Linked DNA regions of Drosophila melanogaster. The protein of the gene in region 3 interacts with the protein of the main gene of each other region in a pairwise test. Each region holds a gene or a part of one and is shown on either strand. Other genes may lie near its edges. The genes, in order: AhcyL1, Cpr66Cb and vlc.

Region 1 (6,364 bases), on a different chromosome or scaffold from region 3:
GCAGTTCGCCATTTGCGACGACGAGCTGATGAAGGTGATGAAGATCCGCCGCTTCCGCACCTTTGGCATGCTGAAGCATCTCAAGCCGCACTTTCTCGATTAGATCAGATCCGCCCTCCGATCCTCTCCAGATGCAAATATATGTGTATGCCTCTCCGCCAGCCTGGTTTACCAATCCCCTGTAACTTTCGGCTCCGCCTGGATTTGTTTGTTCCACAACCTTTGATTAAGATTTAGTTGACGCATGTGTTTAGCATTACCCTAATTAGGACGGGTTTGCACATTATGCACTTTACGGCATTTTAGGAATAGTTCAGATGAACGGAAAATTACAAAAAAAAAATCGATTATAATACATAATGTGTATGATTTTTTTTATGACAAACTCGTGTAGTTTACATTTTATAAAATATCAAAGAAAAACATAACAAGTTTAAGGCAAGTACCGAGTAATAAAAAGAGAAATAGACGAGTGATGCATCTGAAAAATACGAAAGCAACTTTTCCTGGTTTTCATTTCGACGGGGCTGCTGGGGGAGAAATCAATCAGTGGAACAGATCTAATTGCTCAATAAAGAATCCCTTTTTTATTGTTTTGCGTTTCTCACAAATTTCTTACAAACATTTTTCACTTTTTCTAATATACATATTAGGTGTATATGCAGTGTATATATATATATAATTCTCGATCTGATATATATGCCAGCGTGTATATAATTGAATAAATGGAATACCTTGCACTGCTGTTCCATTAACGCTCTCGGGACGAAACGAAAGTACAAAAGTATAATCATAATCATAAGCGGGGGCCATAAACATTAACAAATTAAGTACGTAAACAATACGAGAGGTTAAATCGATCACTTATTGCCCAGCTGTCGTAGCTCAAAAAAGGGATTAGTCAGGAAAGTCGTTAACATTAAAATGTACATGGATTTCACGCGAAAAAGTTATAGAAATGTAATGCAAATATGCTAGAAACCATTATACAAGTCAATTCCCATTAAATATATTATCAATTCCGAATTAGAAGTATACATTTAGAGAACTAATCGCGTCTTTTGAGCTACTGCAGTCTGATTGACAGGCGTTCGAAGTATTTAAAATAAATTCAAGTAACTGGCTACAAAAAATGTTGATGGGGATAAATTCTTGGGGCAAGATTAGTTTTGGGGATTAGAGAGTCATGTTGGATAGGTGAACGGAGAGAATACTCCTGCGGCTAAAGCGAGTGCTAAATACTATGTCGAAGACTTTAAATGCTAACGAAAAGCAACCAAGAATTCCGCTCGAGCTAAACTAAGCAATACAATGGTAATAGTAACTTTGTGTTCTCCTTTCCGTATCCTTTTGTGTTTTCCGTGTGTGTGTGTGTCAACAATTGTTTTAAATAGTTTTACTTCTTCGCAAAGACAATACTTTCGTTGGCGTTGTTGTTTCTTCTAATTGCTGGTGTTATTGTCCGCATCCGCCCGCCTTGCGTCCTAGTAGCGGTAGTAGTTGGGCTTGAAAGGACCGGCCTTGTTCAGTCCCATGTACTTGGCCTGCTCGTCGCTCAGCTCCGTCAAATGGGCATCGAAGGTGGGCAGGTGCAGGCTGGCAACATACTCGTCCATCTTCTTGGGCAGCAAGTAGACATCCGACTTGTAGCGTCCGGGCGGGGCATTGAAAAGCTCGATCAGGGCCAGGGCCTGGGTGGCCGAGGTGATAGACACGGCGAACGAGGGGATGCTGGAGCAGCTCAGATTGACCAGCCTGCCCTCGGCCAGAAGAATGATGTACTTGCCCTCCGGCCAGATAATGTGATCCACCTGGGAGCGCACCTTCTCCCAGGTCAAGTCCGGTGTGCGCAGGCCATTCACATCGATTTCCGTGTTCGAGTGGCCCATGTTGCATACGATGCAGCCACTCTTCATCTTGTCCATGTGCTCGCGCACCACCACGTTCTTGTTGCCGGTCGCCGTCACCACAATGTCTACGTTGCGGATCACCTCGTTCAGCTTGACCACACGGAAGCCATCCATACTGGCCTGCAGGGCGCAAATGGGATCGATCTCTGTGATGTACACAATGCAGCCCTACGATTGGAGATTGAAAAGGTGACAAAGGTATATCATACTAATGGTTGTGGGTGCCATTTACCTGCCCCTTTAGAGCCTGAGCACATCCCTTGCCCACATCGCCGTAGCCACAGACCACGACCTGCTTGCCACCGAACATCACGTCCGTGGAGCGCTTGAGGCTGTCCAGGATGGATTCCTTGCAGCTGTAGAGGTTGTCAAATTTGGTCTTTGTCACCGAATCGTTGACATTCATCGCCGGCACTGTCAGCTTGCCGGCCTTAGAGAGCTGATAGAGACGGTGCACTCCGGTGACGCTCTCCTCGACGATTCCCTTGACCAACTTGAACATGGTCGGGTACTTTTTTAGCATCAAGTGCGTGGCATCGCCGCCATCGTCCAGGATCATGTTTGGCTGCCAGTTCTCGGCGTTAACGCAGCGATCTATGCACCACCAGAAGTCCTCTTCCGTCTCGCCGCGCCAGGCAAAGATCGGGATTCCGGATTCGGCCAAAGCAGCAGCCACTTCGTTCTAAAAATAATAAGCAACGATATTGAGTTGTTTTAATAATGACAGTCCTTGAAGGCTAATAAAATGATTGTCAAACAGGTAAAACCCTCGAGAGTTGGCCTGATAAATCGAGTCACCCTAATGCGGCGTAAACATTTGCTAATATCTGACTTATATCGAGCTGATAACGCATCGGGCTCCATTCTCGCTAAGCACGGCACTCGTAGCTTGGCTGATAAGTCCCAGCCGATACAGGTGAATCAGCGTGACAGGCTGTCGGGGGCCGTGGGCGATAAAAGCTGGCACGGATGGGTGCATAAATGATCGGGGAAGGGCGCTCGCCCTCGCACTCGCATCGCTTCATTAGAGAAGCCATAAATTGTTTAGCGTCAGCAGACTCGTGATAATTGCATCAGCCACGCCGCAGGAATAGGCAAACAGATCGAGTAACCGCAGCCGATCCAATGCTGGAACTAAAACTGCGTCCGTAACTTCCACTCCCAATGGTATGGCGACCCAATTCAGGGCACATCAATTACTCAGCGATTGCCAAACACTTGAGCCGCGGGCGCTTAATTGATTAACATGGCTTGATTGATCATTTGTTTGCGTCGCCTGGCGTGACAACAATTGTCTCCAAGCGACCGAGCAGATCAAGTGACCGAGCACGCATATGCATATGAATTTAAATAAATATAGGAAAATGAGTTAAGATATCTCTTAAGAGATTCCATTAAATGCATTAAGCAGCCTATGAATACGTAAGAACCCTATGACATTTTCATACGACATCTCACCTGCGTGGAGTAGATGTTGCAGGCGGCCCAGCGCACGCTGGCGCCCAGTTCCACCAGCGTCTCGATGAGCACGGCAGTCTGGGCGTTGATGTGTGTGCAACCCACGATCTTGGCATCCTTCAGAGGCTTGTCCTCGGCCGCCCGCTTCTTCAGCGCTATGATGCCCGGCATCTCCTGCTCCGCAATCTCGATCTCCCTGCGCCCAAATGCATGCTGGGCGCCTATGTTCCTTACACAGAAATCGGAGCTGCCTTTGGAGTTCTTTTGGACCTTCTCCCTGGGCGGCACGTCGTCGCCATCCTCGCTGCTGCCCGTGTAGCTGGCGGAGCTGAAGGAATCCGTTGAGGAGGCACTAAGCGAGCGGCTCCTGTACCGACTTGTCTTCTTCAGAGCCGAGGACTGCTTGGTGGCCGGCGGAGGAACCACCACGCTGGCATCCTGCGGCGCCGGTCCAGCCTGCTGCTGCTTGTCGCCGCCTCCGAATCCAGGATCAACTACCACAGTGTCTGCCAGGTTGTTCATGGTGGAAGTAGAGGGTAATCTGGGGATTTCCTTACTATCCCTTAAATTGGCTCCTTGCTCTAGCTCCTAGTGTTCCACCTTCTGCGACTCCAGAGCTTGCAATCCTTTTCCGCTGCTCCTTTGAATGGGCGCCTTGGATGTTATGTAAAGTCTGAAATCCAAGCAGGATGCGCTGCAAATGGCTAGTGGTGTGGCCTGGGTCTATACGAACTGCACAATCACGTGATTTATCGACGTTGTGGAGACCACAAATTGCTAAATTAATTGTTTTTAGTGCGAGTCTCCTTTGTTTCACCTCTCCACTATTGTTTTTGTTCTTCTTCTTCTTTTGCGAATGGGGGGCTACACTTTGGATCCGGGGCTTGATGGGAGTTTCCGGAGAGGGGATGATGATGCAGCCGTCGGCTTTCGGGCGACGTTGTTTGTGTGGCGACCAAGTGGGGGATCGTTTGGCGATCGCTTATTGAATTTGATTTTATCCGGAGAAAAGAGAACTAAACCGAACCGAGGACAGTAAGCGAGACACGCGAAAATACCAAAAGCAGAAGGCGTTAGTGCTATTCTGCAAGTGTGGTAAGTTCCCACTGAAGAAAGGCCAAAGTAACGACTTTTTAACTGAAATCGTCTAAAAATTAATTTTTATAATTTCTTACCATTAATTATGTGTTTATTTTTTAATGAGCAAAGTAAATAAAGTGTGATTTACAACTCCTCAGCTGCAAGTCTTTTAAATCTGGTAGCTGGATAATTTAATGAGTCAAAAAGAAATTGGCAAAGTATTCGAGGTTTATTAAAAACAAATAGTTAACACATTTGGCCTACATATCCTCCTGTAGGTAGCCGCACAGCTCGTAGTCGTCCGCCGTGTTGACCAAGTGCGCTTCCCTAAGAAGGCCCTCCTTGTAGGTCTGTCTCTTGACAATCAAACGCGACAATTCCTCCGGTGCAAGTGGTCCTTGCTTGGCGTGTTTCTGGATGAAGTCCGCCGCCAGTTGTCGATCCACGACGGACATCTCGAGGCTGCGACTCCAGGCGAGCAGGGCCAGCGGTCGCTGCGGACTCAGAGCCAGCGAGGGTGACACCAGATGGCGATACAGACAGCCACCCACGATGTCTTGCAGCTGCTTCACTTGGCCGGGAAAAGCGCAGGGATGGTAGAGCATTACGATGGCACCTTCCGCCAGATTACGCACGTATCGCTGAGGAGGCAAGTAGGAATAGGTGCCATATTCAGCGGGCATCGGGCGATAGGGGCCACTGATAATACAGATTTGAATTTGAAATTAGCAGGAAACTATAATATTGTTCGCCTTACTTGGTGGCAGGCAGATGGGAGTAGCTAATGGACTCATTAAGGCACTTGGCAGGCGGCAGATAGGCGCTAGGTAGAAAGTGCTCCGTAAGAATGGCTTCTCTGGACAAATCCGGTTGGTACAAGCTGTGATTACTACTGATGCATAGGAAATTCAGGCTGTCACGGATGTCGTTTGGATCGAAGTCCACGGCAAGATTGCTCTGAAAATTGTTAATAACAATGATAGAAAAAGATGACTAATACTAAGCATTCATCGGTATTTAGGGGAAGTATTAGTTATATTGCCAAACTCACCTTGCCATCATCACAGCTGCTTTGTTTAGTCTTGTGCGATTCATTGGGACCCTGCGGAAACAATTTACCCTGCCAAGTATCCTGTGTGGTGGACTTCCCCGACTTGGTTTTGTTATCGACCAGCGGTTTTTTCTTCACCAAGTGCGGCTCTCCGGGAGCTTGTGGAAACCACTTGCCCTGCCAGCCATCCTTGGTTGTGAACTCCAGCGGAGGAACTTCCTCCGTGGTGCTCTTCATTTTTAATTCAATCGCTTCCTGCTGTTGTCCAGGGGCATGGGGAAACCACTTGCCCTGCCAGCCATTCTTGCCGGGCGTCGCACCTAATGGAACCTGCACACGTTGCACATCATTGGAAATGTCGGGTGGGGACTTCCCAATCTTCCCTAGCTTCTCATCAGGATCAAGAGTTGGCTCCAACAGATTGGCCTGCGACTTCTTGATGGATTTCGCATCGATGAGGGCGAACCCAAGGCACAAGAGGGTCAAGTAATGCCAAATAAACATAATAATTGCAAGCAAAAGAAAAACAAAAGCGCAAAATAAGCAAACAAAAATATAATTAAGAACTTGGCAAAACAGCTGTGGAGCTGCGTTTTTCAACACTGGTCAAAGCATGACTTTGTTGCAGGGTAGCAACAGGTTGTTTGGAGTTTGCATAAATCTCCGATGATAATTATGTGTTGTTTTAATAACTAAATTAAAATTATTTACGCCAAATTAAAGTAAATAAAGTTAATTTAAAATGACTACTTAAATCAAGCAGATTTAAAAGGAAATCAATGTATATTTGAAATATTCAGACTGGATTCTAAGGTTAAATGACAAATTACTCACCAGAAATCGGCTCATAATAATAAATCATTTT
Region 2 (4,237 bases), on a different chromosome or scaffold from region 3:
TAATCATCGTGGACAAAAATGTTTGTTTTTATCCCCCGAGTTTTTCGGTTTGTCATGTCTCGCAATGTTGTCAAACGTTGTCGACCATAATATAGCAATTAAAATTGTGCTCGTATTTAAGAGTACATCAACCCGATGACACTCGTTTCGTTTTGACCAGATTGAATCCACGGATCCATGGATCCATGGCTGATCTGCCAAAAAAGAGCTTGTGAATCGGGGCTATGCAAAGTGGTTGGCTGAAAAACTGCACGAAATTCCCATACAAATCCAAGTAATTTCTTGAGTTATTGGCAAACAACTTGCCGATGAACTAGATTACAGAGATGGATGAAATGAGTTGAACGAGTGCATGATGGGCAGGAATTTGGAGTTAAATAGGGGAAAACATGTTGAGGATTTTCCTTAAAGTTGTGGGAAAATAATGAGGACTGGATTGACACAAATTAATGCTTTTTATAACGAAAAGTGTGCATAAGTTTTTTTTTTTCGTTTTGTTAGTGAATATATTTAAGTTACAACAAACTGGAATTATATTGTTGCTGAGAAACAAAACACCTGAATGCATTTGACAAAACGATTGCCTCAACCTTCGAGGTGAGAACCTTAGAGTCACTAAATTCCACGCTTCGCTGCCTAATTAGCGCCAACCAATTGCAAATTGACGAAAGACCCAAAAAATAGCTAGCATTGGTTAATTTTTCTTTAACGCAATTGTGGCACTTAACTTTGAATTAAAGTACGTGGCAGCCAAAGTGTGTGTGTGAGGCCCACAAGCACACACACACACACAAAAGAGCTGCGAACAAAACTTCTGTTTTGTGTGAAACAATTAAATATTACAAAATTGGCTTTTATTGGTACAGCCTGGAGACCCAATTCAAATCTAATGCTATTTACCAGTTACGAATTTACGAAAATCAGCGCATTAAAAGTGAACGATTAACCGGAGGCTAGCCGCAATAGAAGGTTGCCCCAAAAATGTTGCCCAGCAGCAGCCACGAAAATCATCAAGCCGAAATTTGGGTCAAACTGCGTTTAATGAGCCCACTTGCACGGCAACAATGCAGACCTGCAATGCAAATAGGCTGCCAAGCCGAGTTGGCCAAAGCGAAAATACCAAAATATTAACAAACTTGGGCTCGCTGGGGTGGGAGAGATGGATTGGGGGGATGGGGTTTTGTTGCAATGTTGCAACTGCCGATCAGCCACATTGATGACGACTTATCAACGCCATCGCATGCGTCACTAATGGCACACAAAGAGTCCTGGACGACAAGCACTTATCGAAAATGTTGCAATATAATGTTGCTAGATATAAAATAATCTATAAAAATAAGAGGAAAATATTTAAAAATGTAATATTTGTCATAAATGTAGAGAACTTTATTACCTTTGTATGGCATATTGTCTTCCATTGTGGGCAATTATAAAATTTTAGAACCACATTTTCTTGTTTCTATTCTCATGTAATCATTGTTGATTTTCGATATTTTTCCTGAGTTGTGCCGACTTTTTATTCTAAGTGCATTGGGGCTGCAAACATCAAACCCCAAACAATGGCAAACAACAACCACAAGTGAACTGTTTTACATTCGGTTCAAGAGACGCTCCGCTCACCGAAGACAGCAAAGTCGCTGCTGCAAACCACCGCTGCTTGAATCCACCGAGCCACCGAACCACCGCTGCCAGCCGATTCACTTTCTTCCTAACCATATAAAAGCGGCGCATTTTGGTTGCAACCACATTATTCAGTGGTGAAAAGTCGTTGCGTGCAGTCAACCAGTGATCTCCAAATAAATCGCGAGCTAAAACTCAAACTAAAATGGCATTCAAGGTGAGCAGCAGCAGCCAAGGATAAAGGATAACGATTGTGAACAACAAACTATACAGCAAAAAAATATCCTAAAGGATACAGCAAAACGATCTGAGGATCGAGTGATATTTAAGAAACCAAGTGATTTGGTGGTGAACGAAGTGGAAAAGGTGTTCCAAATCTCCAGCAATCATTAAAAGGATATTCATATTAAAAATGTGATTTTTAATTTCAATATGCAATGATTTTTAATGGAAACAAATTTTATTAAACATCGGAACAATAGGATACTGTACTATTTACTATACTAAAGAAAAATTATAAATGTAGAGAATGACAGACTAGGAGCTCAAAGAAAGGCGCTTTTAGTAAAATATTCGTCAGGACCACTAAATTTCAGTTTAAAAATCATCCTGACAAAATTTCACTAAATCAATTTAGCTATTTTGTGCTAATTAAAAAACCAATTTAAAGACAACCTCAAAAACCACAGTTCAAACAAAAGCACCTATTAAAGTAAATCGTTTTAGGATTTAGGAAAAAACTCACACTTTTGCTTTAGTTAAATAAACCTCCCGCTTAGTTAACCAACAAATTTGCAGTCAGCCAGTAAACCACAAAGTAACCACTAAAAGTATATCCAAACAAAAGCGTCAGTCGACCACAGCAAACACTTGATTATGAATTCATTAAGACCAGCAAGAGGAAAAAGTCCGAAATTGCAAAGCAGCCATAACATGGATAGCTACTGTCTGTGGCCAGCAAGTCCTCCAACGCTAATTGCAGCACTTGCAACTACACACACTCCGTCAACGGAAACAATTAGTTGCTAATTATGCACCCACCTATCTGATCTTGCAGTATCTGATCTTCGCCTCGGCTCTGTGCCTGAGCCTCGCCTATCCGTTGGAGCACCAGTACTACGAGGAGAGCCATGGATATGAGCACCTGGCCCATCACGAACCGGAGCCCATCCATGAGTATGGCCACCATCAAATCGAACGCATCTCACTGGGCGAGGAGCACGGTCACCTCGAACACGCTGAGCCCCACTACGAGACCCACGAGTCTCACGGACATGATGAACATGTGGATTACTATGTGAGTATTGTTTCTGAAATTCAAAATTACACTATAAACTATAATCAAAGAGATGATGATGATGAAATGTTGTTTCTTAACAGGCTCCTCCCAAATATGCTTTCAAGTACGGCGTGAATGACTTCCACACCGGAGATGTGAAGTCGCAGCACGAGACCCGCGATGGTGACACCGTCAAGGGACAGTACTCCCTGGTGGAGCCCGATGGTTCCATCCGCACCGTGGACTACACCGCCGACAAGCACAATGGATTCAACGCCGTGGTCCACAAGACCGCTCCAGTGCATCATCATGAGGAGCTGCACGAACACCACTACTAAGCTAGTACACACTGCGCACTAGAGTTAGCCAAATTGCTCATCAGCCGGAAGTGGGAGGAGGATTATGAGGACTAGGAGGAGGGACAAGCATATCCACATCGGTCGACCATGGAATCAGCTTCATATCTCGTAATTAGGACATCAGCACACACCCAGGCCAAGGATCACATCCTGTCCATGGCCATTTCATTAACATTTTGTATATTGTATTTTATTCTGTGATAGCGAATAACTTCTATGTGTATCTTCCGCTTTCAACTGATCCTTAGTCACTACCTGCTCAGACGAATTTACCGATCACTACTCGACTGTTTGCCTTAATCTTTAATCTATAATCTATAATCTGTAAACTGTAATGTATACTTATGTCTTCTCGTAAAACAGAGATCGAACGAAGAAATTGTAAATTGTGTAATAAAGTGTGAATTATGTACTTTTTATAAAATCAAAACTCACCCGACCACTGGCCATAATTTTTTCAGCCGGGGCCAATCATTGAACTTGCACTCCTCAAACAAATGACCAAATGTCTCAGCTGACCAACTGGTTTATGCGTTTCCAGACGTAAACGGCAATGGGCAAGATTTCCACAAATTACCAGACATCGTTAGACACATTTTCCGGATCCCAAACGAGTTCTTCAGTTCATTGTGGTTTCTTGTATTTGTTTTCATTGAAATTGCATAAGCCTTAATTGAAATGTTGACGGAAAATGCTTCCTAAATGGTTAAAAGACTTGGAGTTTCTTCGAAATGTCGATGTAATTGATATATAAGCTGATTTCAATTAGCAATAAATAAAAAATCAAACCGCATTGCTAGTATGGCTAGTTTAAATTTGGCGGGGTTTGTCGATATAGTTTACCAGCACTGTTTAAAAATGTCGATAATGACTAGTAAACTTTCTTTACAATTGCCATCTCTAATTGATAAGAAAGGGCAGAGTACATATAAATAAGAAATATATCAATGGTCAGCTAACCAAAGGCAAGAATATAAAC
Region 3 (5,521 bases):
GAATTTCTCGAAAACGAGTAGAGATTAGTTATTATTTATAGGGCAAAAGGGTATACTAGATTCGTGGGAAAGTATATAACAGGCAGAAGATAGCGTTTCCGACCCTATAATGTATAATGTAATGTAATATATATATATTCTTGATCAGGTTCAATAGCCGAATCGAACTAGCCATGCCTATATGAACGCCTCGACCCAGAGCCGGTTTGTTGACCCATTTTGACACGCTTGCTCTAACGCATACAAATGTCTGGATATTTTTGTATTAGTCTTGAAAGTTTGTATCGATTTGCAAAAAATATACTTTTTGCCACGCCCATCGAACGCCAAAAACGGCCACGCCAATACTATTGAAAAATGTTTTATATTTTGTTCATAATTTTTCTTAGTTTTGTAAATATCTATCGATTTGCCAAGAAACTTTTTTTATAATTTTTAAAATTTTTATTAGTCATGTAATTTTTGTTCGATATGCCAAAAAATATTTGGTAGCCCACAAATCGCACAAAAGTGTCACGCCCAAAATTTTAAATTTTATAAGTCTTGTAAATTTCTCTCGATTTGCAAAAAACACTTTCTGCCACTCCCACATTCTTGATAATTGTTTGGATATTTCTTCATACTTTTATTAGTCCTGCTTAGTCTATCGATTTGCTTAAATACTGTTTGCCACGCAAACTCTAACGCCGCAAAACCGCCCAAAACTGCGACGACCACATTTTTGAAAAACTTTTGGATATTTTTTCGTAACTATTAGTCATGTAACTTTTTATCGATTTCCCAAAAACTTTTTGGCACGTCCACTCTAACGCCCATAGCCTCCCAAAACTGCCACGCCCACAAAAAAAGTTTAGATTTTTCTTCGTTTTATTTTTTGTTTTTTCATTTTTTATTTATATACCAAAAAACTGGCCACGCCATCTTTTCGCCTACGAAACGCGCAAAACGGTCACGCCCACACTTTTAAACAATTTTAAAATCAGGTATAAGCAGGTATAAATACTTATCAAATATAAAAGAGTTCTTTATTTAATTTAAAGGATGGCCAAAAGAGTTGATTTTAAATAATGTTATTTAATATATTTACGCAAATGGTCAAAGAGAACTAGTAATTCGGAAGAACCGCAATTAAGACTGTGAAAAAGATTGCAGCGCTATCGTCTGGAAAACAGCTAAATCAGTTGTTTACTGTTGAATGTAAATAACAATTTCTGCCTTCTCGTGGCTTCAAAAAAATAAATTGCAAATTTAAATCCTTTTTTTTAACGAAATCCAAAAATTTTGCCTAAATCGAATTCGAAAAAAATATTACGTATGCCGAATGCATGTCCGATATTTGTCACATCATGATCACGAACAACAAATTTACATTTTCTTCATCTTATTTTTTCCATGGATATAATATCGGACCGGCTCGGTTTGGCTTACATGAAAGCTTGATGCAAATTGCTTTAAAATTGCGATTAATAAGCATTGAAACGAACTGACGGACTGTCTTGTCAAAGCATATAGATAGTTTTCAAGCACCCCTGTGTTACATTTTCACAGTTTCACTTTTAACAGAATCTTATCGCCGTTACCTTAACACTTGTCCTAAAAATACCATGCACTATTTAATCTTAAAATGCGAAGCGGTCGGCGAAATGGCGTTTTTAATGTCCAGGTCATGGCAACACAACCGCTGTTCACCGATCAGTTTTTATTGGTTTTCAGGAATAAGTAAATTGGATTATTGAAGGCTTCACTTGGCACGTATTAGCTTGGATTTCTATACGCTCAAGCTGCGCAGTCTTCACGTTGTGTTATGAGACCAAAATAGATCGAAGTGCGTGTGTGTGTTATTACCCAAAGGAGTTGTGTTCTTTAAACTTCGAACGCCACCGACATCATCATGTTTTTCATCTCACCGAATTATAAATAGTTGTGTGTCGTTTGTTGGTGCCATAATGAATTCTACACGGGGCCATGGGAGGGAAAAAGTACGGGAACTGGGCGAAGCATCAAAGAAAAGCCAGCAAAGCGGAACTTTCAAAGTGCCGTTAAAGCTGTTCCCATCTGCTAAGCTTACACTTACACATTCACAGGCTTAACTTAGAAGGCGTAGTGCGCTGCTTATATTATTGAATTTGACTGGTGTTTCAAAATATATGGATCTGATTGGAGAGATAGAGGAGATCTGAATCATTATGTTTTGGGTTCCGAATAAGATAAATAAAAATTACCTGTCAGGCTCTTTCGATTCTCTGAATGCTCAATTTCCACATTAAAACCAAGTCAGACGTGGGCGTTATCAGTTTATTCGTGTTTATTCCTTTTGGAGGTCAACCACTAACGGCTAATTACGGTTAAGAATTGTAAATTGCATGAATAACTAAGCCCAATGCTTTTTATACAACAGGCTCAGTTTTCATGGATCGCAGTCTGGACTCTATTGGCAGCTGTTCACTGGATGTAGACGCCGACTCCTCCGATATATCAGGTAAATATTTATATGGATATTTATGTGGATATACATATAACCAACTTCAATCGCCTTGCAACCCATCTGTGGATTACATCGGGTTGATTTCCCCGAATTGCAGATACCAGTGGGAGCCTGAACTTTCCAACGCCGGTCTCAGTAAGGGACATAACACGCGAATTTACTGCCAACCTTCGGGAGCGCTGTGTGCCTAACTTGCCTCCCCAGCCTCAGCACAAAACCCCTGCCTACGTTGAATCCAGGTCGTCAGAGCTGGAGCACATGGTGCTGTCACCTGCAATTGTGGAGTGCGACCAAGAGCCGAGCTCCAATGATTTTGACGAGACTTCTGCAGAAAATTCACAAGAAGCTCCCGAAAAGAAGCCCAGCTATTTAAACCTGGCTTGCTGCGTCAACGGTTATTCCAACCTTACCACCTACGACTCCAAGATTCGGCAGGACATAAACAAGTCACGTGAGGTTTCCCCGATTCGTCCCTCCACCAGCAGTCTACAGTACTGCAAACGCAACCACTTTCTAGCGACACCAACTCTGCACAGCATGCCTTCTCCGGCCACCAAGTGCAAACCCATCGAGCCTAACAACAACAGCAACGACAGTAGCGGGAATTTTAGTTCGGGTTCTGGTCACAGCAATGGAAATGGCAGTTTTATCAAGCAACGGGTGGAGCGACTTTACGGGCCGGGTGCATTAGCCCAGGGTTTCTACAGCCCCAAAAAGCACGGCCAGTCACCATCGAATGCTGCAGGGCGATCGGAAAGGGGGCAGGTGGAGATCGACTCTCTACAAGGCTCCGAACTGGCTCGGAAATTCAAGCAGCTCTCCCCCAGTAAAGACTATGGGGAGTTTCGAAAAAAAATGCAGAAGAAGTGTTCTCAGAGTACAACGGCGAGGATAGACGAGCCGTTGCATTCTCCAGGGCTTAACGGAGATCTTGACCTGCCCGTGTTTAGGCACCTTAGTCAAGAGTTCCGCGCCCAGTTGCCTACTGTGTCACCAAAAAGGGGTGCTCCTCGATCTTGCATGGCTCCTGATGTACTGCTTGTAGATAACGAGTCAAGTCCAGACCATGGTCCCACAGATGAAGTAGACCACGAATCCACAAAAATGGACAAACTAGCCTCAGAGGAATACATCAGCACTTCCAATATTTCTGTTGAAGCTGTTGTTAAGGATGGAAATTTCTTTCTGAAAATACTAAAAGAGGAACAAAGCCGTCTCTTGGTGCTAGCCGCTCTTGCTGAAAAATATGCAGACGCCTTGTCTGTAAGTGATCTAAATAGTGATTAAAATCTCAATTGTTTTTATTATTATTTTCGACACTGAACTCTACAGACAAATCCAGATATCTCCGAAGATACCTTTGGGCTACTGCGATCAGCGTCGGGTAAGGCCCGTCTCTTGGTATCGCAGAAAATGAAACAATTCGAGGGTACGCGTATTGCAAAGCATTAAATCACTTGTTACTAACATTAATATTTTAGGTCTTTGCCACAATAATCTGAATCGCTCACCAGAGGATAAGTTTCCAACAACTCTGGATGATTTACAAGGATTCTGGGATATGGTTTATTTGCAGGTGGAGCACGTGGATTCTATTTTTGCTGATATAGAGAAACTCAAAAGTAACGACTGGAAGGTAAAAGCACAGTCCGTCGCTGACCAACCCGATTTGCACACCATACCAACTAAGACAATAAAGCCGTCAAAAGTCGGTGTTTCGCAAGTGAAAACAGTCGGAAAGGCATCCAGCGTTCGTGTGAATGGCTCGGCACCTCCCCCACCTAACTCGGCAGCAGCTTTAAAGAGGGAGGCCCAGAGAAAACTGCTTCTAGAGATGAAACGTCAGCGTCGCGAGGCTATGACCGCAGCGGCCAAATTGAATCCCATAAATGTTGATGCCGACCCGGACGTGCCGGGAATAATTGGCGATAGTTGTGCTAATCCTAGCGTTAGCAACGGAAGTTAAATAATGCTCACTGCGAATAGCAACTCATGCTTTCTATTTATACATATATTTTTAACTAACACACGTGTACCCCACAAAGGCATACTTAAATTTATAGATATTTCTAGTTGAATTAATCATTTACTAGTCCCAACTAAAATTATTGTGTTGGAGCTCCTCACTGAAATCTGTCACAAGGCGTCAAATATCTAGGAGATAACGAAGTATTGTCACCAATTGCGACTTACCTAAAGTTGTTCATAAATATTGCCTTATCCGCGAAAGATTTCGCTAATTAATCAATTTGCTGTGCACATTATGTAATTGAAAATTAAAATTACTTGATTACATATAAAAAAGACATTTATTCACGTTTTACATTATTTAAGTATTTTAAAAACCAACAAAATTTTTGTATAACATAATTTGATGTTTTATAATTATTTTTGAGAAATTTAACTTATACAACTCTTGGAATATCATTTCTATTAATAGGCAAAATATTTTTATACAACTGCAAATAAAAATAACTCACACATTTAAATTAAAAAAAAGTTAATGCTATACTTTTCCCTAGCAAATCACTGTGGTCGGCAATCGGCGTAGTGACGAAGCACAGGGGGACGTGTGAAGGCGAAGAACTTAAAATCGCTAACTAACTGAAAGGTAATCCAAAATCTAATAGGATCGCATACCAAACGTTGATAGGAAAAAGAGAGGTGAAAGTATAAATCATTGCTAAATTATTCTGAAGTCGTTGAAAAGTATGCAACAGGCAGACGGAAGCGTTTCCGACCATATAATCAAATATATAAATATATATTTTTGATCAGGATTAATAGCCAAGTCGATCTGGCCAAGTAGAGTGATTGATTTCCTAAAAAATATATATTATAGGGAAAAGTAAACTTTTCCGACCCTAAAAAGTATATATATTCGCTATTAGCATCAATAACCGAGTCGATCTGGCCATTTCCATCCATCTATCCGAACGTACATATGAATGAATGTCAAGATATCGAAAACTATGAGAGCTAATTCAATGGGATTGGACATGAGACTCTGCTTAAGGTGGTTTCAAAGCGCTGCCA

What was found.
Region 1: the proteins of vlc (region 3) and AhcyL1 interact in a two-hybrid assay, tested with the Drosophila melanogaster proteins (one large-scale study listed by BioGRID).
Region 2: the proteins of vlc (region 3) and Cpr66Cb interact in a two-hybrid assay, tested with the Drosophila melanogaster proteins (one large-scale study listed by BioGRID).

The regions. Positions count from the first base shown.
Region 1 is NT_037436.4:2,767,900-2,774,263, forward strand, and holds AhcyL1 (adenosylhomocysteinase like 1), read right to left. Parts: upstream 4,427-6,364; 5' UTR 3,891-4,426; coding exon 3,369-3,890; intron 2,593-3,368; coding exon 2,143-2,592; intron 2,079-2,142; coding exon 1,485-2,078; 3' UTR 567-1,484; downstream 1-566. Other genes in the region: Non2 (putative nucleolar protein 2), read left to right, coding at 1-103; CG12093 (uncharacterized protein), read right to left, coding at 4,709-5,147, 5,206-5,405, 5,500-6,003. UniProt on the Drosophila melanogaster protein: Might play a role in the regulation of methionine metabolism possibly by binding and inactivating Ahcy.
Region 2 is NT_037436.4:8,334,912-8,339,148, forward strand, and holds Cpr66Cb (cuticular protein 66Cb), read left to right. Parts: upstream 1-1,760; 5' UTR 1,761-1,825; coding exon 1,826-1,837; intron 1,838-2,677; coding exon 2,678-2,917; intron 2,918-3,000; coding exon 3,001-3,237; 3' UTR 3,238-3,684; downstream 3,685-4,237.
Region 3 is NT_033778.4:5,700,469-5,705,989, forward strand, and holds vlc (vulcan), read left to right. Parts: upstream 1-1,643; 5' UTR 1,644-1,719; exon of another isoform or gene 1,720-1,920; intron 1,921-2,206; exon of another isoform or gene 2,207-2,398; 5' UTR 2,399-2,409; coding exon 2,410-2,479; intron 2,480-2,582; coding exon 2,583-3,748; intron 3,749-3,817; coding exon 3,818-3,914; intron 3,915-3,966; coding exon 3,967-4,451; 3' UTR 4,452-4,971; downstream 4,972-5,521.